Linked DNA regions of Drosophila melanogaster. The protein of the gene in region 2 purifies or fractionates together with the protein of the main gene of each other region. This does not show direct contact. Each region holds a gene or a part of one and is shown on either strand. Other genes may lie near its edges. The genes, in order: Frl and CG5447.

Region 1 (16,232 bases), on a different chromosome or scaffold from region 2:
TTAGATAGATAACATAAGATCAGCAAGTATTTAATCTCTTTTCAGAGACACTATAATTAATTTCCTCGTTTATTTTCATGCCCAAGATGTTTTTATTCACATGATGATGATAATAAAGTGCTTTCTGCTCAATGTTTTTTTCTCATTCAATTACTGCAAATTTACATGGAGCCTGCCTGCCAGTTTATCTCAGTGTTAATTAAGCTAAACAATTATTACAATTATCTTAAATTCTGGCTTTGTTTATTTTCTTTTCCCAACGTGCTCATTGCTTAATATAGACGTAATATATTTCCCTTGATCAGAGGAATGTGAGTAAATGCGAGAATGATTGCAAAATTTATTGATTAATTAATTGTAATGTTATGGGTGAGCCCCTCGGCCCCAACTCCCATGATCCCGTCCCGATCCCATCACCCCCTTCGATTCCACTCCCAAGTCCATTGTCCGTTACGGTCTGAACCCATCAGACTGAGTGATTTGCCTCGACGCGCTTTTCATAATAACAAAACAATAAATAAGTAAATAAAAGAGTGCATAAAAAGAGAGAATAATAAACAAGGTGACAAAGACGAGAGCCTCTCTTCAATATTTATGCCAGGGCAGACAGGCTCCGAAAGCCAGAAAGCGAAAACTTACTATGTATGTATATAAATTGGACATGATGTACATATGTACATACATATGTATGTAAATGTAAATATCGGTGTACATAATGAATTACTTGACCGGCATACCGGATACGCATTTTAAATTTGTTTTATTTTTGTGTCCCCTCTATCTTTACATGTGTGTGTGTGTATGTGCATAATGGGACGCGCTACGGACTGTAAGCCTGGCAACCCCCATTCAATTTCAATCTGTCTACGCTCATGCCAAATGAGTAAGCTTCGAGGGTATTTATTATAGCAAAAATTTCATATAAATATTGTGAACAGCTAGTGAAACAAGATGGAACGCCAAAACCAGTGCCTCGACTAGCAGTTACCTATTTCATAATATTCCACTAGAAATTCACAAGAATGATTCAAAGTTATTAGAGGTGAGTAATAGGTAGATGGTATTTACTATCTTTTTCGTTTTGCCGACAAATAATGGAAGCAAAAGTACATTTTATTGGAATTTTATTGGAAAAGCCACATGGGCTACATAAATTGATTTTCATGCGAATCATGAACACAATCAATAAAGCGTAAGCCACATGTGAGCTTAGTGAGTCAATCAACCACGTAATCTTTATTTCCACTAATCTATAATATCATTTTTAAACACAAATGTTGCGAATACTTCAAAAGATATCAAAGATGCCAAACGAATACGGTTTTTTAAAAGGAAGCACTTCCGTTCTTCTCAGAACTTCGAATGTATTTGTTAGTAATGCGATAAGGAAAACATTTTAAAAAAACGAACATTTTCCAAATGAACGTGCGTAACACCGATGACTTTGTTTACCGATAAAGACATAGCCACAGGACTATGACTAATCTTTTTCTATGTGTTTTCAGCACGAATTGTTATCCCTTAGAATCATTTAAGATCTACTAAAGATCTACTTACTCAACAGTTTTCCCTACATTAATTCCCATGAACTCTGAAGTCGATTACCATTTATCCACTCTGTTCCGCAAAAAAAAACAGATGGTCTTATGTTTTTATCATTAGTAGGCTTTTTCGCTATGCTCGTTTTTTGCCGACCGCAAAAGGAAGTGAACAGCAAAGATAAACTTATGTTTGCCCTACGAGGCAGATAAAGGGGTTCACATAATGTGGAAGTCTCATTTTTTCTGCAGATCCGAAGCTGCCGTTAGATAAAGCCAATCCAAATGGACAATGCGTTAAACAAAGCCATGAATATATTGCCATTGAATGCAACGAGGGCTGACATTAGAGTTCGAGTAAAATTTAAAACAATATACTTAAAAAAAAACACATCCTTATGGAAGAAGAGTAAGATTAGGTTTTTCTTATGCTTCTTATGATACGAAAATACATTTTAAAATGTTATTCTAGATCGAGATCATTATAAATGTTCAAAAAGTAAAGCCTATATTTAGTTTCAAAAATACCATCAAAAATGTTTTCATCTCAACAATGAAACCTGCCCTCGCATATGCAACGATTGCTTAACTATATTAACAACAATAACTTTTGTGGTTCACTGCCTTGCGGTTTGTCAGTCATTGGGAAAGTCATTAAGAGCGACGGCTAACCCTGAATCACCTCACCTTAACTACGCCCCGCCGGCAGGCAATTGTTTATAGATATAGATTCTAGATTCTCTTGGGCAACGATGTTGAAGCGAGTGAAAGTTGGCTTGCCTGAGAAAGCTGGTAAGCGATCGGGGATGAGGATTTGATGCGGTTTAGTCTTTCTGTCTTTCACTATATGACAATTTATGTGAATAATGACACCCACAACATAAACCGCAGTTAAGTCTCTTTAGAGTCAAAGCTTTCAATAATGCAATCACATTAACGTTTTTATTCACTAATATTCGAAGCCGTCTCACTGACGATGTAATAAATACACTTTTACTTTCAATTGAAGAAAGCATGGACATTTTATTGGCTTGATGCCAATTTTAATGCAATTAAAGTGAATTTGTATACAAACACAGTTAAATTGTAGCCTCTGTGGGTATTCAAATTCAATAAATAGCACACTTGGAATCGAGTGGAAAAATTCATAATATTTATTGTATATAAATTCATAATTGCTTTCTTAAAACTTAAAGCCAAACAATTTACCAGCTAAATGTATAATTCATGCAACTTGCTCATAGTTTAGTTGCATTTGTGGGCAAACAAACGAACCCAGCTTCTTTGAGCTTCGCAGCAGAACTGTAATTTAACCGGAAACACATGCACCAACTGCGTCTGATTAGATGCAGCCAAAGGCGAATTATTAGCGGCAACATTGTCGGATTGTTGCTATTTTTAAACAATGAATCAGACAAGCAATTGCTGTCGTTCGGAAGCCGACTGCACGGACATTGGCGCATTGGATCTGCCAGTCTCCGGTACGCCAAGTCAAGTCCACTTCAATGCCAATGGGCCATCGGCGAGCAGCACTTTTGCCTAAATTAAGGTAAACACAAATTAAGCCAAGCCGGAGACACAAGGCAAGGGCGAGGCCACCAGGGCCCGGCACAGCACCTCCAGCAATGCCACAATGCCACCGAAATGGCAAACAAACACAATATCGAGGGGCGAAAAATGAAAAAAAAAAAAACAAGTAACAGGCATAGGTAAACAGACGAAAACACACACACACTTTGAGTGCGAAAAGAAGGCAATGAATTTTGAACAAACAATAGAGCAAGAATAGCAAATGCTATCTAAGGTCTGTCGATATCGGGAATACCCTTGAATTATCATATTTTGGATTTGAAATTGACAACGGAATGGCTATGGTTTGTTTTAGATTAGGCGTGTTAACATGAATATCAATTGGGATAAGTAAGTAAGTAAGGATAATAAGATACTAATACTGTGGTATAATGGCAATCTTCTTAGTCTGCGATAAGAGTTGTTAAAAGGATTTTTGTCTGGCTATTAGAGATATTGCATTCAAAAACAATTCATCAGTTTCATACCATATTTATATGATAGCATTTCTGGATAGCATTGACTTTAGCCCTTGAACGGATACTAATTATATTAAGGAAGAAAGCAAGAACTTTGTTATATTTCTTAATGGCTTTAATAAACGCATCAATATTTTGTGTCCCCAAAAATGGCATGAGAGTAATAAAAATCGTGCTTCCTTATCGAGATGCGCACGAAAGAAGTTACAACCATGACATCATACAGTGCGAAAAAGAAATCGAGAAATTATGGAATAAACACAAAAAAAATATGTGCCAAGTTGTTGTCAAAACGTTGATAAAATGTTATCATCCAATATTTATTAAATAAAAATGATCGTAATAATTTATTAAGAACATCCTCTAGTAAATATTTTATCTTTAAACAACATTCCATATGCTGAGGACAGTATTTACAACCTTGAGATCAAAACAAAAGATCTTGAGAATGGGCATAATGCCAAAAATGAGCAGATAAGTGGGAAACCCGTTGGAGAAGCATTTCTCATATTACTGACTGACTGACTGACTGACTGCCGATAACTGAGAACTCAAGCTGCGCCATATAAATAAAGAGTTCTGCTCTCGCCAACCCCTTTTGTTCAGCTCGCCAGAGAGATAAGCCGCGATCTCCAAGCCATCCCATCCCATCGCATCCCATCGAGAAGCAGTGCGAGTAAGGGAGGGCAGGCGAGCGGACCCATGCCGGCGTTAGCAGTGAGTCAGCGAGTGACTCGAGTGCGACAGAGAGGGCGACAATCGATCAATTCGCTTTAATTGCCATTAGCATGCCGAATTGGAGTGGCTTATTCAGAAAGGGGGGAACGATGGGCGGAGGGAAGCGAATCAAATGGCGGCTGTGGGTCACTATCCGTTACGCTTTTATGACGGTCAGCGCTGAGAGCTTTTTTTTCTCTATTCTTGACTAATGTATTTATATTTTTTGGCAATATGTTTACTCGTAAAATCTTAATTACGCAGTCTTGTTCGGTGAAAAAAAGCATTTGGTGGGATGACAAACGAATTCTGACGACAGGCACACGCCCTTCGAACCTTGGTGAGAGTATTAAAAGTTTGGCTTAAAAAAGTTATGATCTTTCATTGTAAATCCTTTAAATTAAATGATAAAAAGAAGAATAAAAGGGGTTGATTTAAAAACTAGGATGCTGTTTCTTAATAAACCAATTGTAAACCATGCTAGTCATCAAGGTTTTCGTCCTGATACCTTATCGATATTTGATTTCAATAAGATATTACGAATAATTCCGTGCAATATGATATTTTGAATGCAATTTTAAGCATGGGAATAGCTAAGGTGTTCAGCACATACATATGTATATATGGTAGTTTCCATTCAGATCCCATTCCACTGTGCCCTGCTTGGGGAGTTGTGCAAGCCGGAGCGGAGAACAGAACGGGACTGAATCGAGTTGAACTGGGGAGAGGCGCAGATACAAACTCAGAGATACTCACAAACACCAGCGAACACTCACGTTTCCACAAGTGTGTGTGTGTGGCTGACAAAAATTCAAGCGAACAAGTCGCCGCACACTCGATGAGGTCATCAATCACATGCAACAAATGCGAGGGCGGAAAAAAACGGGCTGGGGCAGGAAGCCAATCCTTAAGCTTCTTTCTATATACCAGCTACTACATTCGCCAAGCAAACTCAATTTTTCAAATGGATTTTTGAACATAAACAAACATTTCTTCTAGTGTATTAAAAAATATCACCGATTCAGAAGAGGGGGTGTATTTGTTTCTAAACATTCGATTCGACTATTAAAGCTTAACAGCGTGAAAAAGATTTTTCCAGATAGATTTGTATTCTAGAACCATTTACGCATTTCCATTTATTTATTTAAATTTATTTCTTGATACCAAGCTGATCACCCAAAATAGCTTACTCGTTCATAAACAGAAATGTATATTAAAATCGTATGTTATACAAAATATATGTATGAAACATATTGTAAGCTAATAAATGAAAGGAATTTTATTTGCCAAAAACTATGCAATGCTTTTTGGAAAGGGATTGCTAGTTAATTAATTCTACAAGGCGTTATTTTTAAACTTGGCAGAAAGGAATTATATTTTTTAAATCTTTGAAGTATAAATGTATATTTGAAATATATTTCTTTGAGACTTTCCTGTCATTTAGGATTTGAATGGTACATGGAGCGTAAAATAGGTAAAAATAAATAAATAAATTTGTATATCTAAAATTTAGCAAATTATAATGAATTTAATGAAAGTATAAAATTGTTCTTTAAGCCATATTTTAATACCTAAGTTTTTTTTTTGTCATGGTATTCGGATTAACTTACCAGCACTTTGGCGAATCGTCGGTCCAGCTCATCTGTGGTGGGCATGGGTTGCTGGCTCCGGCTCCGCAGGCTCGGCTGCCTGACATGTTGGTACTGGGAACTGCAGCCGATGTCGTAGCGCAGATCCTGTTTCTGCAGCGTGCCGCTAGAGATGGAACCGTTGTGCTGGTGGCCATTGCGCATCGAGTGATGGTGCGCATGCGAATGGGGATGCTGCAGCTGCTCATCGGCGTCCACATCAGCGCTGGTGATGGTTCGCGATTTGACGGCGCCCATTATGGTGGCAAAGCGACCAGAGCCCGAAACCGAGCCGGAGACGGAGCCGCCTCCTCCTCCTCCTCCGCCGCCTCCTCCCCCTGGATCCTGTAATCCCCGGGATCCGGATCCTCCGCCGCCGATGGCGTCCTCGATGGTCGCCGCTTGGAGCGCAGTGCTAAGGGACAGCGAGAGGGTACCCCATACAGTCCGGCAAAGGGCACGCGTGCGTTCCGGGCAACTTGAAAGTTGCTCTTTGATTCCGTTGAAGATATCCAAAGCGGCTGCTGCCTGTTTCTCTGCTATCGAACGCTCAGAACAACTGGCCAATCGAAAGTGACTATTTTCCGGGCGTGTGTTTTCTTATTTTTGGTTGCCTTTTTTGTTTTTTGTTTAATTTATTTATTTTTTTTTTTTGTTTTGAAAGTAAGTGTAAAAAGTGCTGTGTTCCAAAATTTTGATAATTTAATTTACTTCTTTCTGACAATGTAAGCAAAAACACAATTTGTTGCTACTGTTGTTGCTGTTGTTGTTGCTGGTGGTGCAACGGCGGCACTCACACAGGCACACAGCCACTAGCACTCACACACACACACACCTACAGCAAGACACGGATGCAGGCACACAAACACAGACAAAGGACCAGATTTCGATGAAAGGCTCCTGCGGCAGGCGACGCCTCTTGTGCTTTGTTTGCAGGTTTTTCCGAGCGAGGGACGTGCGAATTGCTTGCAATTTGCCTTACACACCGCATTAGACTCGGTCTGTGGGCGATAAGTGTGGGAACCGAGAGCAACTGCAGTTAAATGCACTTTATTTTGCCGACCGACCGCACGACAACCGCGCTACACGAATATTCGGGACAGTGTGACCGAACTGGGTCTGCGCACGGAAACCAAAGACTGGCGGGAAAACACCCTAAATGTGCCGAAAACTGCGCTTAGCAAAGTTTTAAGCCAGTTGATTTAATTAATATGCATTTTTGTGGTAATTGCCAACGGTCGCACTTAAAATAAAAAAACATTTGTTTTACATTTCGGATCCAAGGAAATAAGCCATTATTGGCTTAAATAAGCTTTAACGACTGCAATCATGAGCACCCCTCGCAAGAACTATAACAACCTGCCGCCCTACTGCCCACAAGGCGGCCAGTACCCATCGCAGTCCGCGGATTACAGAGCGCAGCAATTCGGTGGCCAGCAGAAGCCACAAAATCCAAACGTTGGCTTCTACGAGGACAAACAGGGCCAGCAAAATGTTCCTCATTTCTACCAGAACAAATCCCCACAGGAGCCGCAGCGCCATCGGCCCTACGGTCAGGGCAGGAATTTCGGACGCGGCGGCAGCTTCAATCGCAGGAACCAACAGAACTGGGATCATCCGAGGAGCCACCAGAACAGGGAACAAAACCAGAGCGGCAGCTCCTTCGGCCAGTACTTTCATCCCTCCATGCTGGAGGATCCTTGGCGGGAGCTAATGGAACGGCACGAGGCCATCCACGGACCCAGTACTAGCCGAACTTCACCGAAAGAGGTGGCGGCTTCCTAAAATGTAGAATACAACACTAAGAGCTAGTTAAGCCCTGTAGGATAATTTCCCCAAAGCAAAGAAAGAATTTTAATTTTAGCTTTCCGATATTAAACAAAAGAATGTGTAAACATAAAAATGGTTTCATCATGAGATCCGAGCCTGCTTTTGAGTGGCACATTACGTGCTGAAAACCGCTCCGATGCCTTCAAGAAAGAACTATGGCTAAGGTTGTAACATTTTATACATTTAAGCAACAGTTTCACGTGAATGAAACCCGTGTGTATACTTAAAAATTTAAGACTACCGTAATGGAACACCCCTCAGTGCAATGGGGCTCCCCGAGTGAGCTGCTAATAGTGCTGCTGTTGATGCCGCTTCTTCTCCAGATACTTCTCCCAGTCGACGGCAACGCGATTGTAGATACCCATGGCGGCACGTGCATCCTCCACGGAATTATGCTCGCCCGTTTGGATCTCCTGACCCAGAACGGCCTTTGTCAGGCGTTTTAAGCTGGGCGTGTGGGTATTAGAGATGAGTTTGCACAGCGGCTTATAATGCGACGTATCACGAATGTCATGGAACGGATGGCGGATGCCCAGTACGGCAAGATCGTTGCGCAGGCCGTGTCCCACCAGAATGCGGCCATGTATCAGCTTCATCACTTCGTTTTGCACGGCGGCAAAGTCCTCACCGTTAGCGATGTCCTGCGGCCGAATGCCGGACACGCTGGTGCGGTAGTCGGTGACCTCCTTTCGCGGCTTCACATACTTGTCCAGCAGCACGTGTCCCATGCGATTCACGATGGACACGCGTGCCAGCATGTCGTCCCGTGTGTTGTGTCCCACGCCCACCATCTCGCAGTCCATGGCCAAAATGCGATTGCGGTGTGCCTTCTTTTTCATGCGCATGCGTGCCGATTTGCTTAGTGGTGCTGACTCCGTCGCCTTGGCATCCTGGTTTTCACTTCCAGCTGCTGCTGCTGCTCCACCGCCAGCAGCGGCCATCCAGTTGGAGCCGGCTGCCCGGCGACTTGTGTTCACCTGTTGCACCTGTAGGCGCTCCATGGAGGCTTGCAGCTTGCGTTGATTGTGTTGCGGGGAAACCACATTTTTCGTGCTGTCCGTGGTGTTTTTGTTGTTGGCAGACCCGCTTCTGCTGCTGTCCAAGTTATTGGCCCGGCTACGATTCATGTCGAACTGCTTCTGGCGTGGCGTAGCGGACATGGCGTCGGGGCATCTATATATTCCAAATAAATATCCAGCTTAAGACAATCTCGAATAACAAATGTGTTTCTTTATTTTAGTAACACCGACCAGTGTGACCGTCTTGGGGTTGCTGGAGTATTACTGTCGACGGGCTTTTGGTATTTAAACAGTGTCAATGGGTGCGTTCAGCAGGTAAATAGCAATCACGCCTTATGTAGCCTGTGAACGCATTCACTGCGTCAATAATATGTGCATTGATCGCTCGAACAAATAAGACCGTAAAAATCGCTATTCATTTACAGTTTCAGACGTTGAAGTAGTGTAAGTTCATTAAAATATTGAAGAAATGTGGGAGTATTGACTAATATTCTAAAATCACTTATGGCGGTTTTATATTTTAACAAATCGTAAAAATATCAAACTAACGGATTTTATACATATGCATGTGCACACTCGAGATTGGGCTTGAAGTTTTGGATATCCACTGCGAAGTGCGCACTTGATAAAGATGTTCGTATGCAAGGAGTTTTAAACTGGCTCCCGCGTATTTCGTTCGGAGTGCATCCTGGAGCACATAGATGTCAAGTAAGCGCAGCTTACTTAATTCGCATTAAGGCATATGGTCGTCGAGGAAGTAAAACTTTACTTGAAAAGCGGGGCGTGGCCCCTATCTGCATTCGGCCCCTTCGGCGGCCTGGGCAACTTTCCCAATCACATCGAGGATTATTCATTTGAGGAATGCCGTTTGCAGCATTACATGGCTCAACAGGAGGATCGCCTCACTATTTATGAGTTGCAGTATGCTCGCGAAATTGACTTGGCCACCATGAAAATTATTTGATTAAGATGTCGCCCCAAAAACTACTGGAAACATTGATTGAAATTTACGATCAGCCTCTAATCGACAGTTCCTCTGTCGCATCCGTCAGGGACCAGACTTCGGACGAGAGAAAATGCCAAGTTCAGCCTCAAAGCTTCCCAGGTTTTCAAACCAACTTTTCAAACCAACTGCCAGTTAAACATCTCCGGTGACACGGCGAGGCCGTCCAACAGAGCATGCTTAAGATGCTGGAAGGCAGCGTGGTTAGCCTAACCGACCGGGAACAACTGTTTTAAAACTAATATAATTTTGTTTAAAGTTTTTTGTTTTTAATTTCTTTGCAGTACAAGTGATCTGTTTTTAGAAAAAGATTATCCAAAAAGTTAGCTTTAATTTGAAACTCAAATTGAATATGAAATTTTGGATGCTTGGAGATTTTGGAGACTTGAAAATAAATGTATTTTCTTATTAGGCGAATTAAGAGCAAACCTTGTTAATTACATATAGCTCGAACTTTGTTTTCAGTGTAATAACTGATAAGCCATTCAACTAAACAGTCGATATGTTCGTTGAATGTATAGATTTTTGTTACATCTATGAACGGTCATACGAAAAGGATATTCATTTGTTTATTTTAGTTTGGCACATCTTTGAAAATAATGCATAATGCTTTGTGAAGATCTAGGAAACTGCAGACTACTCCATCGGAATTTTTCCATCAGCGCCCGAGAACCCAGCACTTACATCGCCAACAGCCGATGAGCCGCAATCCGCCCGTGTTCCCATTCCGACTGTCGATTGATTTGTACGGCGACAAGCGGCGGCGGAGAAAAGGACCGATAAAGCAGAACTGGAGGAGCAACCATGACCGGCAGAGAAGCGCAATCCTTCCACACACGCTGTGGCCGCTCCATCCGGCTGTACAATAACAACCGGATGGCCCAGCGCTCAATGCGGGATTTCAGTCATGCCCTGGTGTTCAGTGCTGAGCCCCTGGAGGACGATGTACTTTTCGAGGTCGTCATCGAGAAGAAGGTGAGTTAGCCACACGACTGCAGCAGATAGAGCTGCGGATAATGATCGTCTTGCAGAATACCTACTGGGGCGGAAGCATTGAGATTGGTGTCACCGCGGAGTCGCCGGATGACCTGGAACTGGTGGCATGCGCCACTGCCATGCGAAATGGCACATGGGTCATGTCCGGCATCGACGTGCGCAAGGATGGACGACGCCTATTCGAGTTCTATGGCACCGATCTGGAGACGCTCAACGAGAATGATCGCGTTGGCGTCATGCGCACCTCTGGTAACGATTTGGTCTTCTATGTGAACGGAGAGTCGCAAGGCGTGGCTGCAAAGAACATGCCCAAGCCTCTGTGGGCTCTTGTCGATCTCTACGGACGTTGTGTGCAGGTTTCCTTGTGTCCGCGCGATGGAAGTGGTTCCGGAGAGGTAACAATTCAGCTAATCCAAATGAATAGGTAAACAAAAACTCGTTTTCTTTGTACACAGCTTTTGGATTCTCCGCTGCAGCAACCACTGCAACAGGTTGTTCAAAACTTGGACGTGGCCATGAACGTAAACATTGTCGTTGACTCCGACGCCTGGATGCAAGGCAATGGCTCCGTATCCGGTGCTGATGACCGACTGTGCTTCCACACCCGCTGTGGGTCGTTGGTGAAGCTTTCGCCCAACTTTCGATCCGCCGAACGCCGTCGACCCCTGGACGAGTTCAATAACGGCGTGGTGATGACCCACAGGCCTCTGAGGGACAACGAACTGTTTGAGATTCGCATCGACAAGTTAGTGGACAAATGGTCGGGATCCATTGAAGTGGGCGTCACCACGCACAATCCCGCAGTGCTGCACTTTCCGGCAACCATGACCAACATGCGCTCAGGCACAATTATGATGTCCGGCTGCGGCATTTTAACCAATGGTAAGGGGACACGCCGTCAGTACGGCGAGTTCAACTTGGATGAGCTTCGCGAGGGAGATCGCGTTGGGATGATGCGCAAGGCCAACGGCAACCTACACAATTACATTAACGGTCAGGACCAGGGTGTGGCCGCCACCAGAGCACCGTCCACTTTGTGGGGCGTTATCGATCTCTACGGAATGACTATCAAGGTAACAATAGTTGATCGCGATGAACGTGAGCAGCAGAATCTCGTGACACGGCGAAACAACATAGTAGCAGGCATGACTGCATGTTCCAGTGGTGCTGGTGCTCAGCACACCCAGCACCAGCAGCATTCCGGCACCCCAACCCTGAGCCTCCTAAGTCCAGAGAGCGAGATGAATGCCGCTGGCGCTGCCGGCGGCCTAAGTGAGACCATTTCCAGCACGCGAGCCATAGCCAGGAACGATGACCGGCTAACCTTCCACCACATTTGTGGTACTCACGCCACCGTCACCCAGAGCGGGCGGACAGCGCTGCGGCCCAAGTGAGCATTGTTGTTTACGGCAGAAGATTTTTATGAATTTCAATTCCCCAATTTGTATGCAGTGCTGCCGATGATTTTAACAATGGTGTAGTGCTCACAAGGAGACCTCTGCGCCCCAACGAACTCTTCCAAGTGCGACTCGAACGCGTCGTGACCAAATGGGCTGGCTCTGTTGAAATGGGAGTGACCACGCACAGCGCCGACGAACTGGACTTTCCATTCACGATGACTAATGTGCGGTGAGTCCTGGCTTCTAGCCCAACTTTAGTTGTTTTAAACAACCATTTTCCAAACCAGTTCCGGCACTTGGATGATGACGGGAAACGGGGTCATGCAGAATGGAGTCACCGTTATCGAACAGTATGGTCAAAACCTGGATCGCTTGCAGGTGGGCGATAGAGTGGGTGTGGTGCGCAAGGACGACGGCACCTTGCATTTCTGGGTAAATGGAGTGGATCAGGGTCCAGCTGCCAACAATGTTCCCGAGCGCGTTTATGGTGTAATCGATTTGTATGGACAGGCAGCACAAGCAAGCATCGTGGACACTTCGGAGTGCGGTAGTCCGGACACTGGAAACTCTACCATCTCAAACACGACGTTGTACAGTGAAGTTCCGCTGCGATTTCACAGCATCCACGGCGCCAATGCGGGCATATCGAATAGTGGCCTAACAGCGTCGCGTCCCAATTCCCTGGCGGAGTTCAATGACGCAATTGTGTTCAGTAACCGACCGCTAAGGCAGAGGGAATTGTTTGAAGTGGAGCTGGAGACAATGGTTCGTCACTGGTCGGGCAACATTGAGATCGGGGTGACGGGCACTCGGCCCGAGGACATCCAGTTGGCTCCAAACGCCACCGATCTGGAGGCCAGCGACACCATCATCTTATGCGGCCCGATGATTTTTCACAACCGCAAGACTATACGCACGAATATTCTGCTGGATTTGGATACCCTAGGTCCTAGCACGCGTGTTGGTGTGATGCGCAATGGTGACTTCATTCACTTCTTTGTTGATGGAATGGATCAAGGGCCGGCCTGCGAGTGCCACGCACCGAACATTTGGGCCATTATCGATTTGTATGGGCAGTGCGCGCAGGTGAGTCTTACCCAGACGCAGCTGGACATCCGTGCTCCGTACGCGACCAGCGAAAATTCCCAGAGCTGCCAAGCCACATCGGTAATTCAGCATCCGGCCATGGAGACAAAACACCGCTGGACTTGCGTCTCCGGAAATGTAAGCCTAACCAAGGATTGGACGGAGGCCTCGCGCTTTACGGGAGCGGCGGCACCACTATCCCATTGTCTGGTATTTTCGGAACATCCGCTCAGCGTGGGATCACCTTTTGAGATTAAGCTGACATCGGTTAATTCCATGTTTGCTGGTAAGCTCCCCCGTTGTAGATATCTACATACATGTAGAGGATTTTAAAAATTTCTTTTAATGGTCCGTAGGTTGTCTAAGTATCGGGGTCACTGATTTGAATCTAAGCGACGAAAGCGTACGCAAGAAACTCCCAACCAGTATTCGCCGGATTCCCGCAAACGTGTGGTATGTTAGCGGAAACGAGGTGTGCTTTAACTCAAGCTGCCTGCAGCGCTCGCTGGCCTCCCTGGAATGGTTAAGGGTTGACGATAGGATAACTCTGGAACGAGTGGAGAACTCGTTAAACATTCTGTTGAACTCGGAGAACGTGAACATCCACTTTCACAACGTGCCCAACGATGTCTACGTGGTTGCCGAACTGAGAGGTTCGACGATGGGAATTCAAGTGATTTCCGCTCAAGGACCGGCGTCGCCACTACGTCCATGCAGTTTGCGTCTGCAGGACTCAATGGACTTTGGAGTGGATCCACTGAACAAGCAGGATAGCTCCATGCTGGAATCAATCGATTCCGAGGCACTGAACTACGAGTTTTTGGATGTCTCACAAAAGAACGCACGACTCAGCGATGATCGCAGAAGCGTGACCAGAATCAAGTCCTATAACCAGTCCATCGTCTGTCTCAATAAGCCGCTGTGTAAGGGTGAGAGCATCAGCATCAAGGTAGATGCCCTAAACAACAAGTGGAAGGGTACTGTCGGTCTCGGCGTTTTGTCCGCAAGTCCCCAAACTGTTCCCATTTCCCTGTTGGACTTTAAACGGAGCTGCTGGTTGGCCACCCACGACTACGTGAACATCAACGGTCAAGTGATGCCCTCCAAATACGGCGATGCCCTTGAGCAGATCCAAGTGGGAACTGTGATCACCCTGACACTAACCCATGCCGGAATGCTAAGTAAGTTAAATTTAAAAAGTTAAAAGTTATTTTTAATTATCAAAATTTATTCAGTCATTATGATTGGGTCAACGAATCTCGAGGATCTGGCCAGCGGACTGCCCAACCATGTGTATCCCGTGTTCGATGTGTACGGCAAATGCGAGAAGATAACATTGATAACTGGAAATGATGCTGGCCGCACTGGGAATGCCAATGGTACTCCAATTCTCGAGGCTCCGGAGGCCCTGGAATTGGATAATGGTATGCCACAGCAATGTGAAAAGGCGCATCTGGAAATGCACGAGAAGGAAAAGGACACGGAGCAGGTGTGCGAATCGGGCCCGTCCACCTCTGGTGCTCCTTCAAACGCCATGTAAGCGTATCAATAAATAGGTCTACTCCGGTTTTCTGTACGGAATCATTTTGCAGGACTCGATCGGTTATGGAGAGCGTTTCGGAGAACTTGCTGTTGAACATTTCCATTAAGAATCGAACTCTGGAGCAGCAGCGAAATGAACTCGGTGGATCATCGTCGACTTGGTAAGCATGACAATGGAAATGCGGATAAGAATGTAATTCCTAATTTTCTGAATTTCTTTAGTTGCCTTCGCGAGTCTCTGCAGCTGCAGCACAATACTAATTTAAATATACAACGCAGTCAGAGCACACAGAGATTCCAGAACTCTTTGAACACATCTGCAACGGCAGCGGGATCTAGTGGCACCAGCGGCTGCACGGCCAATACGCAACACCTGAGTAACTCGGGTGTATATGACACGAATAAGGAGTATGATGATCTACCCAATCCTCCAAACCCGTTAGTCAATTCCGTCGACGAAGCAAGTGGAGCAATTACGTCTGTATCCACAACGATCGATCACAGTGAAAACAATGCGGAGGCCTTGGAACTGAGTGCTAGCAATGAACGCGAAATGTCCGGCGAGCCCGCGCTCAACGATAATGTATTGGAGGACGATGAGATCGACTACATGAACCACCTGTTGCTGCTGCAGCAACTCCAGCAGAACGAATATACGCGGCATCATCTTATGCCCGATCAGGCGTCACTACTCAATCTCGACCTGCCATCCCTTAATTCCATGGAATCCGACACGAATTCTGTCGGCCAGACGCGGCCGAGTGGAGGAACAGATTCCCTGCGATCCACTGCCACCGGGGCCAGTGTGGAGCAGAACGACTGCGAGTATTTGCGTCAGGTGAGACGCTTCTGTGCATCGCTAGTTCTGCCGCAGGCCTTTTTTGATAGCCGACTTGAGCCGGTGTGCTTCTGCCTGAAGTGCAGTGGACCCAGCATCGGAGGAAATGGTGATAAACTGGAGGGTTGGGTTTATTTCAAACTAAACCAGCAGACGGTTAATGTGCTGAGCACTTCGACGTCGACTGCATCGGCCGGTGGTGGCGCTTCCTCGGCGACCGCTCCCCAAGTGCATTTTGATCTCAACGGAGACTGGCTGCCCTTCTACTACATGACACGGGTGGACAAGATTCGGGCGATACTGGATCGTGGGCAGCCGCTTCCGCTAGAAACGGATCCGGACGAGGAACCGGCCGCTGCAGCGCTCAAGGATGAGCCTGGTACACGTCTGGAGCTGTACTATTCGCCCAATGCCACGGTCATTGAGCCCGTGCTGCCGCAGCATCACTTTGCCTCTGAACAGGGACTCCACCGCATCTCCACTTCCTTCGAGGTCTACGTTCGGCGGCAGTCGATTTCGGGTGTGACCACTGGCAAGGCTGCGGCCGAGGCGAAAAGGCGCAGCCTGGGATCCACCGACCACGATCA
Region 2 (15,766 bases):
CAACTCTCGATAGAGGGGAAAATATTTCATATAGCTGACCTACCGCACCACACAAAAGAAAATAATAAACATTTCATTTACCGCACAAAACTTTCCCCATTTGAAATGAAGTAGACAGCGCCCTTGGCAATGACGGGAATTTAAAACTCACCATTTTCCTTTCACGAAAAATATTTTATAACAATCAACATTTCTGGGAAATTTTATCTGGCTAGTGAACACAATCTACTCATGTTTCATAAACAATCTTGTGTGACAAATAGGAAAACACCTAAAATCTGAGGTTCTCTTAAAATAGACCACTCTTAAGCAAATTATTAAACTGGTTATGAAAATTCCTAAAACTGTTGCGATAAAGCATTTAATTACAGAAATAAAAAACTGTTCATCAAGGCAAATAAAATTTAAATTAGTCGCTAGTTTATGAACAATTCCATTCATGCGGCATTTACGAAACATAATTTATTTTTCTTTCTCATCCGTATACTTGTTTGTATATTTTTAAAGCAGCCAATTTAACGAGGTCTTAAAATATTTTTATGAACTTTCGTGTTAAAAGTTTTATATAGGCTAATTAAAGTTTTATTGGAATTTTGTATGTATTTTCAAAGGCTATAACAAAAACTAACTTATTTAACAGCTTAGGAAATCTTTTGAAATTTATGGATAAGTACTTTTAGTTCTTAACAAGATTAATGACAATTTTTTTAAATATTTGTAGCCTACTCATTAAAACAAATGCACTTGTTTGCGTTTACATTACTCATACGATGTGAAATACGTAAAACTAATATGGGCTTACCAGAATTCAACAACTTGAATAAACCATTTTTAGGAGTTGAGAAGCCAGCTCATAGAGTTTTTTGCTGGCAAATATGACTCAGAGGCCGATCGAGAAGATACTGGGAATTTTGTAGATTACGCAACGCAATGAGCAATGAGAAATTTCATTTGGCAGACCAATTTGTTCTTGCCCCCGCTGCTAAATTGTATTTATTAGTTTTTTGGTTTGATGCGTTTCGTTTCGTTTCGTCTCGGTTTTTCGGCTTCAGTGGGTTTTATGACGGAAGCACTACTCAAGAATCGACTTCAGTTCATTGAAGCCAATTCGAGAGCCGTTTACGGAAGTTTTTGGCGGGGTGGGTCCGAAAATAACCGATTCGCTTCATTGCACAAGCCCCATATGCTCTCCGATGTCTTTCGAAAAATAGTACAAAATTGTTAATTGCCCCGGGATGGGATGGGATGGGTTCGAAATATATATAACCTAGAAGACCCTCGACTAAAGTCTGCCTCTGCACTCCACTTTCAGATGAAGTCCAATACGTACGAACTGCACAACTACGCCGATCTGAATGACATGGCCAGAGCGACGGACTCCAAGGATTCGCGCAAAAGGAAGACGGCCAGTGCTCGGGGCGAGAAGTATTCCCTGCGACAGAAGCGACAAAAGAGGGGCTCCAACGAGGATGGGGAGTCAGCCAACCTGGCTGACTTTCAACTAGAATTAGATCCCATAGCGGAGCCGGCTAGTAAATCGAGGAAAAATGCACCCACCAAGTCCAAGACGAAAGCACCGCCACTGAGTAAATACCGTCGGAAAACAGCGAATGCCAGGGAGCGAACCAGAATGCGTGAGATCAACACGGCCTTTGAGACACTGAGGCATTGTGTTCCCGAAGCGATCAAGGGCGAGGATGCGGCCAATACCAACGAGAAGCTGACCAAAATCACCACCCTGAGACTGGCCATGAAGTACATCACCATGCTGACCGACTCGATTCGAGATCCCAGCTATGAAAGCGAATTTATAGGGGAGTGTCTGGAGGAGAGTGCCAATCGGGAGGCGAGAGTGGACTTGGAAGCGAACGAGGAAGCCGAGGTGGAGCTACCCGTTCCAGTTGCCAAGAAGCCAGCCAAGACAAAGGGCAGTGGTAAGAAGAGTTCCGCCGCGAGCAAAAGACAGAGCCAAAAGCAGGCCAAGATAGTGCCCCAGATACCACCGATAAGTTCCGGTGAGTCGTGCTACGCCACCTCTTCGATTGGATCGCCTGCCTCCTCCGCCTACGCATCGCTCTCCTCGTCATCGAACAGCCACAGCAGCAGTAGCAGTCCGGGACTGGAGCTGGACAGTCTGGTGGGATTGAACGGAATCAGCGCCCTGGACTCTCTGCTTCTGGATACCTCCGATGGGGATTCCCTCTCCTGTCTAAGTCCCGGCTATGGAAGTCTACTCACTGGCAGCGGGGAATCCCTGTTGCCCGGTTGCCGAGGTGATCTGCCCATGTCGGGTCTGGAGAAGTCGGATGTGGAGCTCAGTCTGCGATTACTGGACCAGAGTTCCAAGGATTCCTTCGACTTTGCCAGCGATCAGCAGCCGTCGGCCTGTATTAGTTCGTTCTCCGCTCTGGATGGGTATCCATTCGACCTGCTGCACAGCGATTTTCCGGATATGTTTCTCACGTGACGCGTATTTCTTAGCAACCCTAACTACTCTCCTTTTAAGCCTAACCCTCGTCTTAAGTTAGAGTGCGAGTTTTAACCCGACTTTCACTATTAGCCATTACATGCGATGCGCCATTGAGGCGGAATTCATTGTGTCATAGCAAGCAGCTGACAGGATAAGTATATTCACATCCTGCGAAGGCAAAAGCTGCTCACCGCCACATCCACATGATAGCTCAACTCAACTAGTGATTTAAGCATTTCTTTGTGACGCATTTCTCGTTATCCTGTAAATAAAGCACCCAGTGTTGATTCAAACAATCTATTCTGTGATGGGATTTTGGATCCTTCAACTTTCAGAGATATGAAACAGAGTAGACTCTTAGATTATTAGTTTTAAATGGAGCGATTCTGAAATTGATATTAGGTAGCCGCAATATAAATCATACCTTATATTTGAGATCAATAGACACACATCGAAATGGCAAACACTTTTAATCCTGAGGAGGACTTTCCGGAAGTCTACAAGGTCTGCAAGTTGTTCAATCCGAGCATAGACGATCTTGAGAAGATTAAAAACGCAATGGATCGTGAGATTACGATGGGTCTGAGTCGCGATCATCACGATCGTTCGACCGTTCCGTGCCACTTGAGCTATGTACAGGATTTGCCAACGGGCAGGGAGCGTGGTCAGTTCTTGGCCCTGGAGATGATGCCCACTAACTGCAGGATAATGCTGGTGAAGTTCAGCAGCGAGAGAGATATCTACACCAGTTCCAAGTGCGTGATTATGCCGCATACTGTGGCAGCGGGTCGAGGAACCGAGGTCTTCACCTTTCTGGCCACCAGCATAGCAAATTTTGTGAAGGAGAAAAAGGTGGACAAGGACAATCTGCCGCTGGGCATAGCCTTTGCCTTTACCCTAAAGAAGTTGGCTTTGGATGTGGGTATCCTTGTGTCGTGGACCAAGGAGTTTGGAGCCCAAGGCGCCATCGGCAAGGATGTGGTCCAACTGCTGCGCGATGCTCTGGCCAAGTTTCCCGAAATCTCCGTCGATGTCATGGGTATCATCAATGTCGGAGCCGGTTCGCTGCTGGCTCTGTGCTGGGCCCAACCGGATACCCGAATTGGCTTGATCATGGGCAGTATTGCCAATAGCTGTTATGTGGAAAGGGTCGAAAGGTGCGAAACGTACGAGGGTGATGAGTACAGAAAGCTGATGATCATTAACTCGGATTGGGCCCATTTCGGGGATACTGGGCAGTTGGATTTCATACGTAACGAATACGATCGCCAGCTGGACACCGAGTCCATAAATCCGGGCACTCGGATCTATGAGAAGTTTAGTGGAGCTCTTTGCATGGGAGAATTGGTTCGCATTATAGTGCTTCGCCTGATGAAATCGGGCGCCATCTTTGCCGAGGACAGGCGTGATTACATAGGGATCCAGTGGAAGTTGGACATGGTGTCGCTGATCGAAATCGTCTCGGATCCGCCGGGTGTCTATACGAAGGCACAGGAGGTGATGGACAAGTTTCGCATACGTCACTGCAAGGAACGGGATCTGGCTGCCTTGAAATACATCTGCGACACGGTCACAAATCGTGCTGCCATGCTGGTGGCCAGTGGAGTTTCCTGCCTCATTGACCGCATGCGCTTGCCACAGATCTCGATCGCCGTGGATGGCGGCATCTACCGCCTTCATCCGACCTTTTCCACCGTTCTTAATAAGTACACCCGTTTGCTAGCCGATCCCAATTACAACTTCGAGTTTGTCATCACCCAGGACAGCTGCGGAGTGGGAGCGGCCATAATGGCGGGAATGGCACATGCCAACAAGTACAAAACGGACGCGAAATTGTTTACTATGGACTACTAGATATGCATAAATAAAATTTTTATTATGTCTGCTTAAATACAATGACAACATATACGTTTGAATTTTCCATGTTGTTAAATTTTCCATGTTATTCAACCAGAACGTCCAAAGCAAGAATTGAAATTTACCTCATGAGAAAGTCAACTAGACTTTTAACTCATTCTCTATTCGGCCCTGTATTTAAAATTTTGTTTCATAACAAAACAGTTTGTGGAGGCTGTAATAGGAAAATGCCGAGCCTGGTGAACACGGAAATTGAAGCCGCGGTCAAGGGCTTCCTGATCGACCAGGAGAAGATGACCGAGGTGGTGGAGCGCATGACCAAGGAGATAAAGATGGGCCTGGCCAAGGACACGCATGCACGAGCGGTGATCAAGTGCTTCGTCAGCCATGTGCAAGATCTGCCCACTGGCAAGGAGCGGGGAAAGTATTTGGCCCTGGATCTGGGTGGCTCTAATTTCAGGGTGCTTCTGGTGAACCTGATTAGCAACTCGGACGTGGAAACCATGTCGAAGGGCTATAATTTTCCTCAAACTCTGATGTCCGGATCGGGAAAGGCGCTTTTCGACTTCCTTGCCGAATGCCTGTCGGAGTTTTGTCACTCCCATGGCCTGGAGAATGAATCACTGGCTCTGGGCTTCACCTTCTCGTTTCCGCTCCAGCAGCAGGGACTCTCCAAGGGTATCCTTGTGGCCTGGACCAAAGGATTCAGCTGCGAAGGCGTGGTGGGCAAGAATGTGGTGAGTTTCATGGCGTTCAAACTATTTACGTGTGGTTCTATTAACATTTATATTTAACAAATGAATTTCTTTTAATATGCATTCCTAGGTGAGTCTTCTCCAGGAGGCAATCGATCGAAGGGGCGATCTAAAGATCAATACCGTCGCCATTCTCAACGATACGGTGGGCACTCTGATGTCCTGCGCCTTCTATCATCCCAACTGCCGGATTGGATTGATCGTGGGAACCGGCTCCAATGCGTGCTATGTGGAGAAAACAGTAAATGCCGAATGCTTCGAAGGATACCAGACCAGTCCCAAGCCATCAATGATAATCAACTGCGAGTGGGGCGCCTTTGGGGACAATGGTGTTCTGGAGTTCGTTCGAACTTCCTACGACAAGGCAGTCGACAAGGTAACACCCAATCCCGGCAAGCAGACGTTCGAAAAGTGCATATCGGGCATGTATATGGGTGAACTTGTACGTTTGGTCATCACCGATATGATTGCCAAGGGTTTTATGTTCCACGGCATCATTTCCGAGAAGATCCAGGAGCGATGGAGCTTCAAAACCGCCTATATTTCCGATGTTGAAAGTGATGCACCTGGCGAGTATCGCAATTGCAATAAGGTCCTTAGCGAATTGGGCATATTGGGCTGCCAGGAACCCGACAAAGAGGCCCTGCGATACATCTGCGAGGCGGTGTCCTCCAGGTCTGCCAAGCTATGTGCCTGCGGCCTGGTCACCATTATCAACAAGATGAACATCAACGAGGTGGCCATCGGCATAGACGGTAGCGTGTATCGCTTCCATCCCAAGTACCACGACATGCTCCAGTACCACATGAAGAAGCTCCTCAAGCCGGGCGTCAAGTTTGAGCTGGTTGTTTCGGAGGACGGATCCGGAAGAGGAGCGGCTCTCGTGGCGGCCACCGCAGTCCAGGCCAAAAGCAAGCTCTAAATTCGAAGTTGATATTCTTCAAATGCATGGGAAACGTTACGGACAATGATATATGAGCACAAAATTATGGAAGAAGAAATAAAGATTTAAGGATATAATGGGAACTTTTAATATTATCCTTTCAAACTTAAAATTGTGTCCAGAAATCCGATTTGAATTATGGCGCCAAAGATATAATAATTTTCTGCCTTAGTGGCAACACTGCACATCCATAGTATTTTTTAGTACATGCAGTATTTTTAGAATATTTATGGAACGATAGGGATGGGGTAACACTATTTTGGTATAAAAGCCAACTCGCCATCTGGTAACACTTGGAGTTTGCAAACATTTATCTCTCGACCAATTTAAGGAATTTGAGGCAATTAGGGCATTCCTGTGAGCTTTTCCAGGCCAACTGCGATTACTTCAAGCCAAGACAAACAGGTGGGTAACCAAGCAGGCCGTGCCCCACCGACCAGACCAGCAAAACACCCCCATTTCGGGCGGTGCTGGAAAAAGCAAGGCCAGCTGTCCATTTGGGATTTGGACACTCCACTCTGAGCATCAAGATGATTGCCCTTAACCAAATGCATCGGGCGCTGCAGAGCGAGGCCATTAATGCCATTATCCGCCTTTTCAGCGACAACATGTCCCAAGGCGGTGGCACTACTCCAGCGGGCGGTAATCCCACAGCGCTCCAGGCGACCGGAGGGGGCGTGGTCTTCAGCAAGGTCTTCATCCAGCGCGATTACAGCGAGGGCACCTCCGTCAAGTTCCATACACGGCTGCCCGCTGAGCTGGAGGGCATGGTGACTATATAATACTCTATATTATCTGTGGGATTATCATCCGAACTCATATCGATTCTCGTGCAGATTGAAAGACACGTCTTCGAGGCCACCATCAATAGGCTAAACGAGTTCTACGCCGAGGCGGAGGAGGGATCCTGCGGCACCTATTGCGAGGGCTGCATTGGCTGCATCACGGCCTACTTGATCTATATGTGCTCCGAAACGCACTATGAAAAGGTGCGTCATTTGGGTTTGGATTACACACATGTGGGTCAATGCAATAGAGTCTAGTTCCACTAGGGAACTATTAATAGGGATTAGAGTCAACAATTTCACAAATGTCGATATGCGATCGTATAAGTTATCAAAGTTATTCTCGTTAATGTCCTTGTACTCAAGGTTTTCATATCTGTTTAAGGTATAAAGGTCAGAGAACTTGATAAATCAAGTAGTAGTATTACTTGCTAATTAGTGATCGTGCTATCTGTTATACGAGTTTAAAATAAGGCAGTGGCACTTCCAGCTCTATTGCCTGCACATACTAATGCTCTTTCGCCCCCACAGACCCTTCGCAAGATATCCAAATTTGTGGCTTCCCAAAATGAACGCATTTACAACACCAAGGGACTGCAGCTGATCGATCCCACTTATCGGGGACTTCGCGTCATAGAGATTACAATATTCGATCGTCCGGGGCGAACGTGACTTCCGCTTTCCCATTCAGCCAACGAGTTTTTCATGTGAGATCGAGCAGCTACAGTCGCATCAACAGGCATGTGAAGGAGAAGAGTCCGTTTCAGCAATTATCAAGCAAAAGTCAGCGCCATCAGAGTGCGTTTCCAAAAATATAAATCAATAAAAAGCTGTGGAAGCAGCTAAAGCTTTATAACCTATAACCATATGTGTGAGTATCTCAGATATTCCGCACTCAATTGCAAACTGAACTAACTAACATTTACTTTCGCATCCTTTCAGCTTGGCAAAAGCAGTGGCCAGAGCGTTTTCGGGGCATGCGACTTAGTCACGGGTGTGCTGGTAGATGTGCCTCCGCTGCAGCCACATACTGTATGCTAGATTAGCCGTTAATGATTAGCCAAGGCAGTGTACGGCCAGTTAGTTAGTATTTATGCAATAGCAGGCATAGTCATGTAAGTGAAAAGCTACCGAAACTGCATTTTGAGCCGAAGCAAGAAGCATCAACATATACACACATTCGCATATGTTACAATTGTTTTATTAATCGGACCGAAAGGCCAGCGAGAATTGATTGTTTTGTAATTTGAAAATGAATAGAATTGTATACATCATGTTTGTAGTAGTTGCCAACAATTCGATTGTCTAATGTTGTAATTTCAATATGGCATTAACATTTGCATAAATACACACACACATAGTTCAAGCTTAATCAGACATAATGCATACGCATAACTTTTTCTATACAATACTTACCGATTTCAAACAGCGCCAAATGAACTTACACATAAATCGAATCGAGAATCGTTCGATATTTAATATAAATCAGCAACATTGATTAACATAGTTATATATCTTATAAGAAAAATATATATATTGCCGTCATTTAAACGCGCCTACAACTGTTTTCCTGCGGCGGGTAAACATCGAATTGGAAGCAAACAAGTTAAGCAAAATGTGGCGTGCAAAATTTGTTTTTGCTGATTTTCAATTGTATTTCGCTATTTACTTATCATCTGCGGATATTTGTTATTGTCTGGCGTAGAAAACTTTCGTATATATAAAGGCCTCTAAAGCCTCGTCTTATACATTCACGATTCTTGCAAAGCCGCACAATGAAGCTAAGCACTTATCTATTGGCGCTCGTCCTATTCGCCGGATTCTGCCTGCTGCAGCCTTCCTCAGCCCAGACCAATTCCACCACATCCACCAACACCACAACCACGGAGGCAACCACAACCACCACTGCCAAGGCCACAACCGTTCATAGGAAACATTTTACGATCCGTAATCTCCACTATAAGACAGTGCGCAGGATCCATGTTAACAAGAAATCTGGTTAATAAGATCTTTAGCTTACCAAACAATGGCGAATAAAAAATACCTAAAGAAAACACATTTCTAATAATGGGCACAACAATTTATACTTCTACATACAGATCTTTTTGTCTTTCTGTTTATAAGTGTGTTTTTTATGAACATACTTTAGTTCTCATTTAGTTTACTTTCTACGCATTTGTTTGCCAAGTTCATGGCCAAGTTCCTTAGGTTTTGACTGCTTAGATATAGCATAATAAATGAAGTCAATAAACGAAATGGGGCTGCTATTCTAAGCTAGAAACATCTATTTATTCCAATCGTAGCATTGAACAAAATCTACTTTGAGAACACCTTTGGCTTTCATTGGTTCGCCCTTTACGGGGATAACCAATATCTTTAACTAGCTTTAGTATCTGTGATTAAGAATAAAAATCCTGACTAGTTGTTGTACCAGATTTCAAGTCGAAACAATCCAGAAAACGTTTATTTCAGCAGTAAGCCTAATAATATACAACATTTCTACAATAGGCTACTTGTATATTTTTCTATTTAGGTTTAAAGCAACAAAAGTTATACGGTCTTTTCTCTCTATTAGATGACTACACCGGCTTTTATCTGCGGATTTTCATTTTCCTTCGACGCACCAAAAAATCATACTATAACATCAAATAATAAATTCTTGTCCAGGTTCCATCTTTCAGTGGTGGGTCGTCCTAATCCTTCAGCATTTTCCGTTCTTACTTGCCCGCATCGTTCATGTTCTTGGGCAGACTCAACAAGGAGTTGATTAGCTCCGAGTTGCGCTTCCTGATGGGCACGGATGGGCCCAAGGAGTTCTCGAGGATCAGCGGATAGCGACAGAGAGTGGCCACTTGGCCGGGACTGAACTGTCCCACGCCCACGTTGTTGAACCAGTCGAGGAGATCCCGATTGTACTCCTTGCGCACATAGCGCTCCTCATCCGGCATGGCCATGGCGCCGCAGTATCCCCACTGGCAGCAAATGGCCAGAAGCACAAGGGCGACAAGGTACGTGTAGCGAGCCATTAGTCCGAGGAGCTGGAAGGATGGCCAGGAGCAGGAACTGAGCACGGAACACCTGCAGCAGGAGACTTGCGAATGAACGTCGGTTGGCGCATCCTCGACTTATATAGCAACCTGGACTGGATAACCCACTGCGGGAGACCGCCCGACCACGCAACCCAAGAGCGTCAGTATCGGTGTCATCCGCAGGACCAATACATGTCATCCGCAGGCAGCGGCGGTCCTTTAGCCCAGGCAAATACGGAGTCGAGTTGGAGCCACGCAAATATTTGGTTATGCAGTGTTTTATGTGCCAACATGCAGGCACCAAATCCCATTCAAGTCCAGCGATATTTGTACGGGAAGGCAGCTCACTGGCGACTCCATGTGGCACTCAAAAAAAAGGAGGATACCCAATTTAGGCACTTCTTTAAACCAACTTATTTATTGGATTTAAATAATATACGATTGCAGACAAAATTGCTGACCTTCCATTAAAACGAACCTTATTTGTGAATAATATTTTGCTCAATTCGTTTTCTCTCTGTGTAATTGTGTGATTAATTTTAGAACGAAGCTCGTAAAAATACCAATCTTAAATATATATAAAACTTAATAGCTAGCTCGGCAGTTGGGCCGTTTTGCGAAATTCCAGCTTGTTCCTTTGTTTGATCACCAAACTGTGTAAATATGGCCAAAAAATTTCGCGCGGACGTAATTGGCGAGAGCAAAATGCAAATATTTGCTGAGAAATTCCGCCAATTGTCTTGGTCACATATAAAACTCCCAGCCTCCGAAGTGGTAGTTCATCCGAGCAACGGCATCACCGAGCACACCATGAAGACAGGACAACTGGCACTCCGAATCCTAGCGATAAGCCTATGCATTTGGGCAACCAACGCCTCATCGCCAACCACCACGGAGACTACGACGACCACGACGGACAGTGACACCACCACCACGACGACAGCAGCCACCACGACCACCACCACCGCGTCCTCCTCCTCCTCCTCCTCCTCCTCGAAGGTCCATCGCAAGCGGTTCAGGATCAAGAACCTCAAGTACTCGATTAAGCGCAGGGTGCGCGTCTACCGTGACACCAGTGCCAGTTCCACTTCCAGGAACAGGACCAGGAATCGCTCCGGAAGGCGGGTCAGTGTGCGCAGCCTCAATAGGCTGCTGCGACGCCGCAATCAGGGCTAGGTTCCAAAATCCACATCAAGTCATATCCATACATGCAATAAAAGCAATTTTCCAAAAAAAAAAAACATCTGAGTATTTAAAACCATAAGGATAATAGAAAGGTCAGTACTAGAACGTGTGAAAAGCGAAGGATTCCCCAATGGTTGTTGCACATGTCGTATGCGTAATATATGCCAAATTACTTACCTTATTTGAAATTTTCTTTGTTCCCATCAACAGGTTGCCCCTTCTAGCATGGCTGTGCCCAGTCACACAACGCACATCATCCTTTATTTATGCCTGTTCAATGACTTCACGTGCGGCAAAAACATTGACCCAACTCCGCCCCCCAACCAATGGGCAAACATCGGATATATCTCGACGGGGTAGGTTTACGATGACTATAACTTTCCATGCAGCCACATTACCCAGCAGTTTGATGGCCAAGGCTCGGCGTCGTTCACTCCGACGATTTGTTTGCACTGCATTTGTGGCCAGACCCAAAATCCGGTGGGTGGAACGCGGACTCCGCGTTTATCGTCCACCGTTTGCCGTCTTAAAAGTCAGCTGAAGCATTTAATGGTCGTGGTGTGACTTGGAGGCACACATAAGTGAAACACGCATGGGTTCGATTTCGGTTGGGAAGACATTTCCAGGAGCGTCTTGGTCACATCAGAGTATAGAAAGTAAATGAAACTTAATTTCCCATATATTAAAATGGAAAAAAAAGGTTTTAAAATATATTAAGAAAGTTATTATTAGCTAGAATTTATTTAAGATCCATATTTTTTACTCTCTCCTTACTATGAAGAATCTTTACTTTTCGGTCTGCAGTTCGTCCCTGGACAAGCCGAAGATGATTCGTCCTGAACGCACACACAGGACATCGGGACGGGGGTCCGTGGCCATTCACCAATTACGCGCCATTCGCGGCTGTGTCCTTAATTTCTTAAAAAGCGTTTAAACATCTAATGAAAGCATTTGGGACCCCGCGATTTCTGCTGTCAGTTGCGTTTACCTTTTCGCCGTGTGCGGTTCGCTTCGTCGGTTCGGGTCGATTTGGTGGTATTCCTCGGTCCTGATTATCCGAGCTGCAGGAAGCGAGCACGAGAGGATTATGTCATTGCAGCCATGGCCAAGATAATCTCGACGATCAAGGCCATCCTCACGAGGATCATCTTCAGTGCGCACAGCCTGCTGGCCATTTGGCAGGTGGTGGCTTTAAAGAGTGATATCATATACTGGGCACTATGTGGACCACTGCTGTTGCTGCTGCTCGAGGGCATCTTCACCATCATGATCAAGAAGACGCAGGAGTGGCGCTGGTAAGGATGAAACCCACGGATCCTGGCTACCCCAGGCATCTGATTAAAACTCCCAACTCGAAATGTAAACAACAGTCAGTCGATGCTGACGTCATGCCGCGGGGTTTTGATTTTCAATTAAAAGTGAAATCATGTGTTTAATGTGTGCCTAACCTGGCCACCCACTTTCATAGAAACCACCAACACTGCGGCCGCACCCCCACACTCAAAAAAAAAGTAGCCACGATTTCCAAACAACACAATGTAGTTTACATAGGATTTTTGGATAAAAATATGCATATGAATTGAATCTAGAAATAGGAAATCCTATGAATTTTGTATCTTAAAGCCAATTTGTATTATCATTTCGGGGTGTACTTTTTTTCAAGTGTAAGCTGTCCACCTCACACTTTGTACTAGTAAAAACTTTAATGGAATTTCGTGGGGGATGGAGTCTTTTTGACTCTTGTTTACCTTTCGTCGCATCACTCAGACTTGTTGTTTGTTTTGGCCGTTCGGCTGTGCCACCTCATTTGTGTCCTTTGTCCGCAGGTTCTGCCCCTCGGTTTTCCTCTACCTGAGCAGCATTGTGCCGGCGATATGGCTGCTGGAGCTGGACAAGGTAGCACGTCGGGTGGGCAACATGACATCGACCAACTCGACGGTCTACAGTCCGAGCAACTACAGCATTCCCGTGGGCAACACCACCATCTTCATCACCAGCACCAACAGCAGTGGCGTGCCACCGGTGGCCACTCTGCTGGGTCAGGCCGGGGTCACCCTCTCGGTGACCCCGGACACTTGGACAACCCTCATCGAGCAGTTCCTCATGCTCATCCTGATCGTTGGTCGCTGGCTGCTGCCCAAGGGCGATCTAACCAGGGATCAGCTCAGCCAGTTGCTCCTGGTCTACATTGGCACGGCGGCGGATATTATTGAATTTTTCGATTCCTACAAGGATGACTCGATAGCAAAGATTGGATTCCTGGTCTTCCTTACACTGGGCATATGGTCCTGGAGCCTCATGCAGTTCACCATCGTGCTGTCCGCCACTCGAGGACGACGACCACGAGGCAGTGGATCGCATCACAAGGAGGAGTGCGTATATTTAATCATTTTATTATTAAAATGTAAATGATCATGGGAATCTTTATTCTGCAGACATACAGACTGTTGCCAGAACTGTTGCTGTGGCATTGATGTTTGGGGCATCGTACTCAATGTGATCCTGCAGGATGCGCCCTTCCTCACCTTTCGCCTGCTGATTATCTTCCAGTACAAAATCATTAACTACATGAACGTCTTCTTTACATGTACGTATTATAAATATTTTTATGCGTAATTTTATTACTTACATATATGTTATTAGGCAAAAACTCGTTGGTGATCATCCTGCAGCTTTATCGGCTATATGTGGTCAACGCCGAGTTCTGGAAAAATCGGCGTGAAAGTCGAATGGCCAAGTCACGTCAGTTTCAATCTCGTCGAAAAGTGCAGGATGCTGATCAGAACAGCATTTACATGATATCCAACGAAAGGGGTGGTGATGTCAAAAAGAAGATCAAAAGGTAGGTGTGGATGTAATTTAGATCCTTAATGAACTGCATCAACTATTTATAGGGCCAAGGACAAGGACTATGCGGAGCAGGAGGCGGTATACAGTAAAAAGAAGAAGGACAAGAAGGACAAGTGGGTCTTGAGCTCAACTGTGACATTAAAAAGAGAATTTAGATTAACCCACTGATTCCAGGAAGAAGCGCAAACGCAAGGATACTGGCTACTCCACGGCCAGCTCGCAGAATCTGTACTCCACGAAGGCGAGTGGCACGGACAAGGACACTCGCCGCAAGGACAAGAAGGGCAAGAAGTCCAAGCGCACCTGCAGCAGTTCACCCAGTGACTGCGACTTGGCCAAAAAGCAGAAGCGCAAGAACGCGGATAAAAACGATAAGAAGTAGGTAATATCTCGGGACTTGGCTGGTTATCCTTTGACTTATGATCCGATTTCCCGCAGAAAATCCCGCAAAATTGAGGCAGTCGTGGAGGAGTCGAGCAGCTCGAGCAGCAGCAGCTCCGATTCCAGCAACTCCACTCTGCCCAGCTACGAGGTCATCGACGAGAAGAAGGCCAGGCGCAGGAAGCACCGCGGAAGTAGTAGCGACACCAGTTCCGGGGACAGCAGCTCCTCCAGCTCCTCGTCCTCCAGCTCGGACTCGTCGTGAATGAGGCACTTTTTTGGCACTAACGCCAGACGTTAGGGAATCGATTTTTTTGGCAGTCACTTGCCAGCATTCAAGTGGCTGCGCCGCTGCTCCGGGAGCTCAGATTTGTAAGACCCCAAGGGGCAGGTCTATAATTTGATTGCAAACACACCGAGCGTTAATCATGAAAATACCACATGCTTACGCTTTTACATTAAAATGTTGTGAGATACAAAAGAAACTGCAGTGAGTTTTAAATACTTTTGAAACATTTATCTCTTCGCATTTCTGCATTATCTCTTCTGCATTTTGCACAACATTTTTATTACAAATTTGATGTATAATTTAATAGTGCTGAAACTCTGTGCTCCTTTGAATATTTTATATTAATTAACATGACATCTGCACGAAAATATTTTAAGGCTGTTTGTAGGCTTCCAAATAAGCTAGCATTTGCTATTTTCTTGATTAGTGCTCGATATATTTTGATATATTTGTATAAGCTACACTATGGCATATTTGAATGGATAATAAATACGCGGGCTCCACAGCGATAAGTTGGCAGCTCCGTTGGCATTAAAATGGAGCTCTCTTGATTAAATTTTCAACGTGGGGAAATTCTCTTAATGCTTTCTCTTTGCCGCATGAAAAGCTTAGCAACGCGAACTGCTGCTAAACTTTTGTTGACACACAGTTAGCTGTGATATTTGCCGTGAGTGTGTGTATGTGTGTGTGGGGTTTGGGGGGTGGGAGGGCTCTAGTTGGAGATTTCTCGAGAGCGTGTATTTTTGTAATAGCACAATAGTTGCTGCCGAGCGTCCAAACGCTGCGGACGCGATTTTCGCTTCGCTCCTCTCGGATTCGCAACGCTTTTCGAAAAAACCTCGCGTAACGCCAGAAGCTTTGTTGTTGTCGAGTGTGTAAGTTCAAGAGTGTGTATGCGAATGAGTGTGTGTGCGAGTGAGCGTGCTTTGTCGGATCCATCGCATATATACTTGATATATAGACGCACGATAAATGCCTATTAAGAAATGTTCTTCGAAAAGAACTCTTGAATATATCTGCAAGTGCCGTCTCTCAGTGCCCATCAATAAATCACGGCAGCTACATAGCATATACCATATACCCCTCAAAAAAAAAAAAACAACAACAAAGGTTCCCTTTGGCAGACTTTATTAACTATTAACCGGACAAACAAAAAACAGTTGTCAAGCCGATTAAAATTTAAATGGCTATAATGTGGCGCAGGTGTGAATTTTCTGTCTTT

What was found.
Region 1: the proteins of CG5447 (region 2) and Frl purify together in Drosophila melanogaster (affinity purification with mass spectrometry, with the first as the bait; one large-scale study listed by BioGRID). This does not show direct contact.

Annotation. Positions count from the first base shown.
Region 1 is NT_037436.4:14,044,025-14,060,256, reverse strand, and holds the start of Frl (Formin-like), read right to left. Parts: upstream 7,043-16,232; 5' UTR 6,190-7,042; coding exon 5,914-6,189; intron 1-5,913. Other genes in the region: CG13484 (uncharacterized protein), read left to right, coding at 7,261-7,716; CG6833 (uncharacterized protein), read right to left, coding at 8,049-8,921; Neurl4 (neuralized E3 ubiquitin protein ligase 4), read left to right, coding at 10,588-10,758, 10,815-11,174, 11,235-12,169, 12,232-12,408, 12,467-13,551, 13,622-14,446, 14,501-14,801, 14,858-14,968 and 1 more. UniProt on the Drosophila melanogaster protein: Together with Cdc42, involved in establishment of planar cell polarity in the developing compound eye by contributing to ommatidial rotation. Together with DAAM and Cdc42, has a role in neuronal development of mushroom bodies.
Region 2 is NT_033777.3:26,446,228-26,461,993, forward strand, and holds CG5447 (uncharacterized protein), read left to right. Parts: upstream 1-6,306; 5' UTR 6,307-6,430; intron 6,431-6,626; 5' UTR 6,627-6,633; coding exon 6,634-6,795; intron 6,796-6,861; coding exon 6,862-7,014; intron 7,015-7,341; coding exon 7,342-7,482; coding exon of another isoform or gene 7,483-7,521; 3' UTR 7,522-7,681; intron 7,682-7,752; 3' UTR 7,753-8,358; downstream 8,359-15,766. Other genes in the region: tx (taxi), read left to right, coding at 1,313-2,467; Hex-t1 (hexokinase testis 1), read left to right, coding at 2,927-4,324; Hex-t2 (hexokinase testis 2), read left to right, coding at 4,456-5,064, 5,153-6,004; CG43117 (uncharacterized protein), read left to right, coding at 8,586-8,813; Pdf (Pigment-dispersing factor), read right to left, coding at 9,528-9,836; CG14237 (uncharacterized protein), read left to right, coding at 10,650-11,015; CG14238 (uncharacterized protein), read left to right, coding at 12,126-12,319, 12,851-13,396, 13,460-13,611, 13,668-13,866, 13,919-13,987, 14,049-14,252, 14,313-14,520.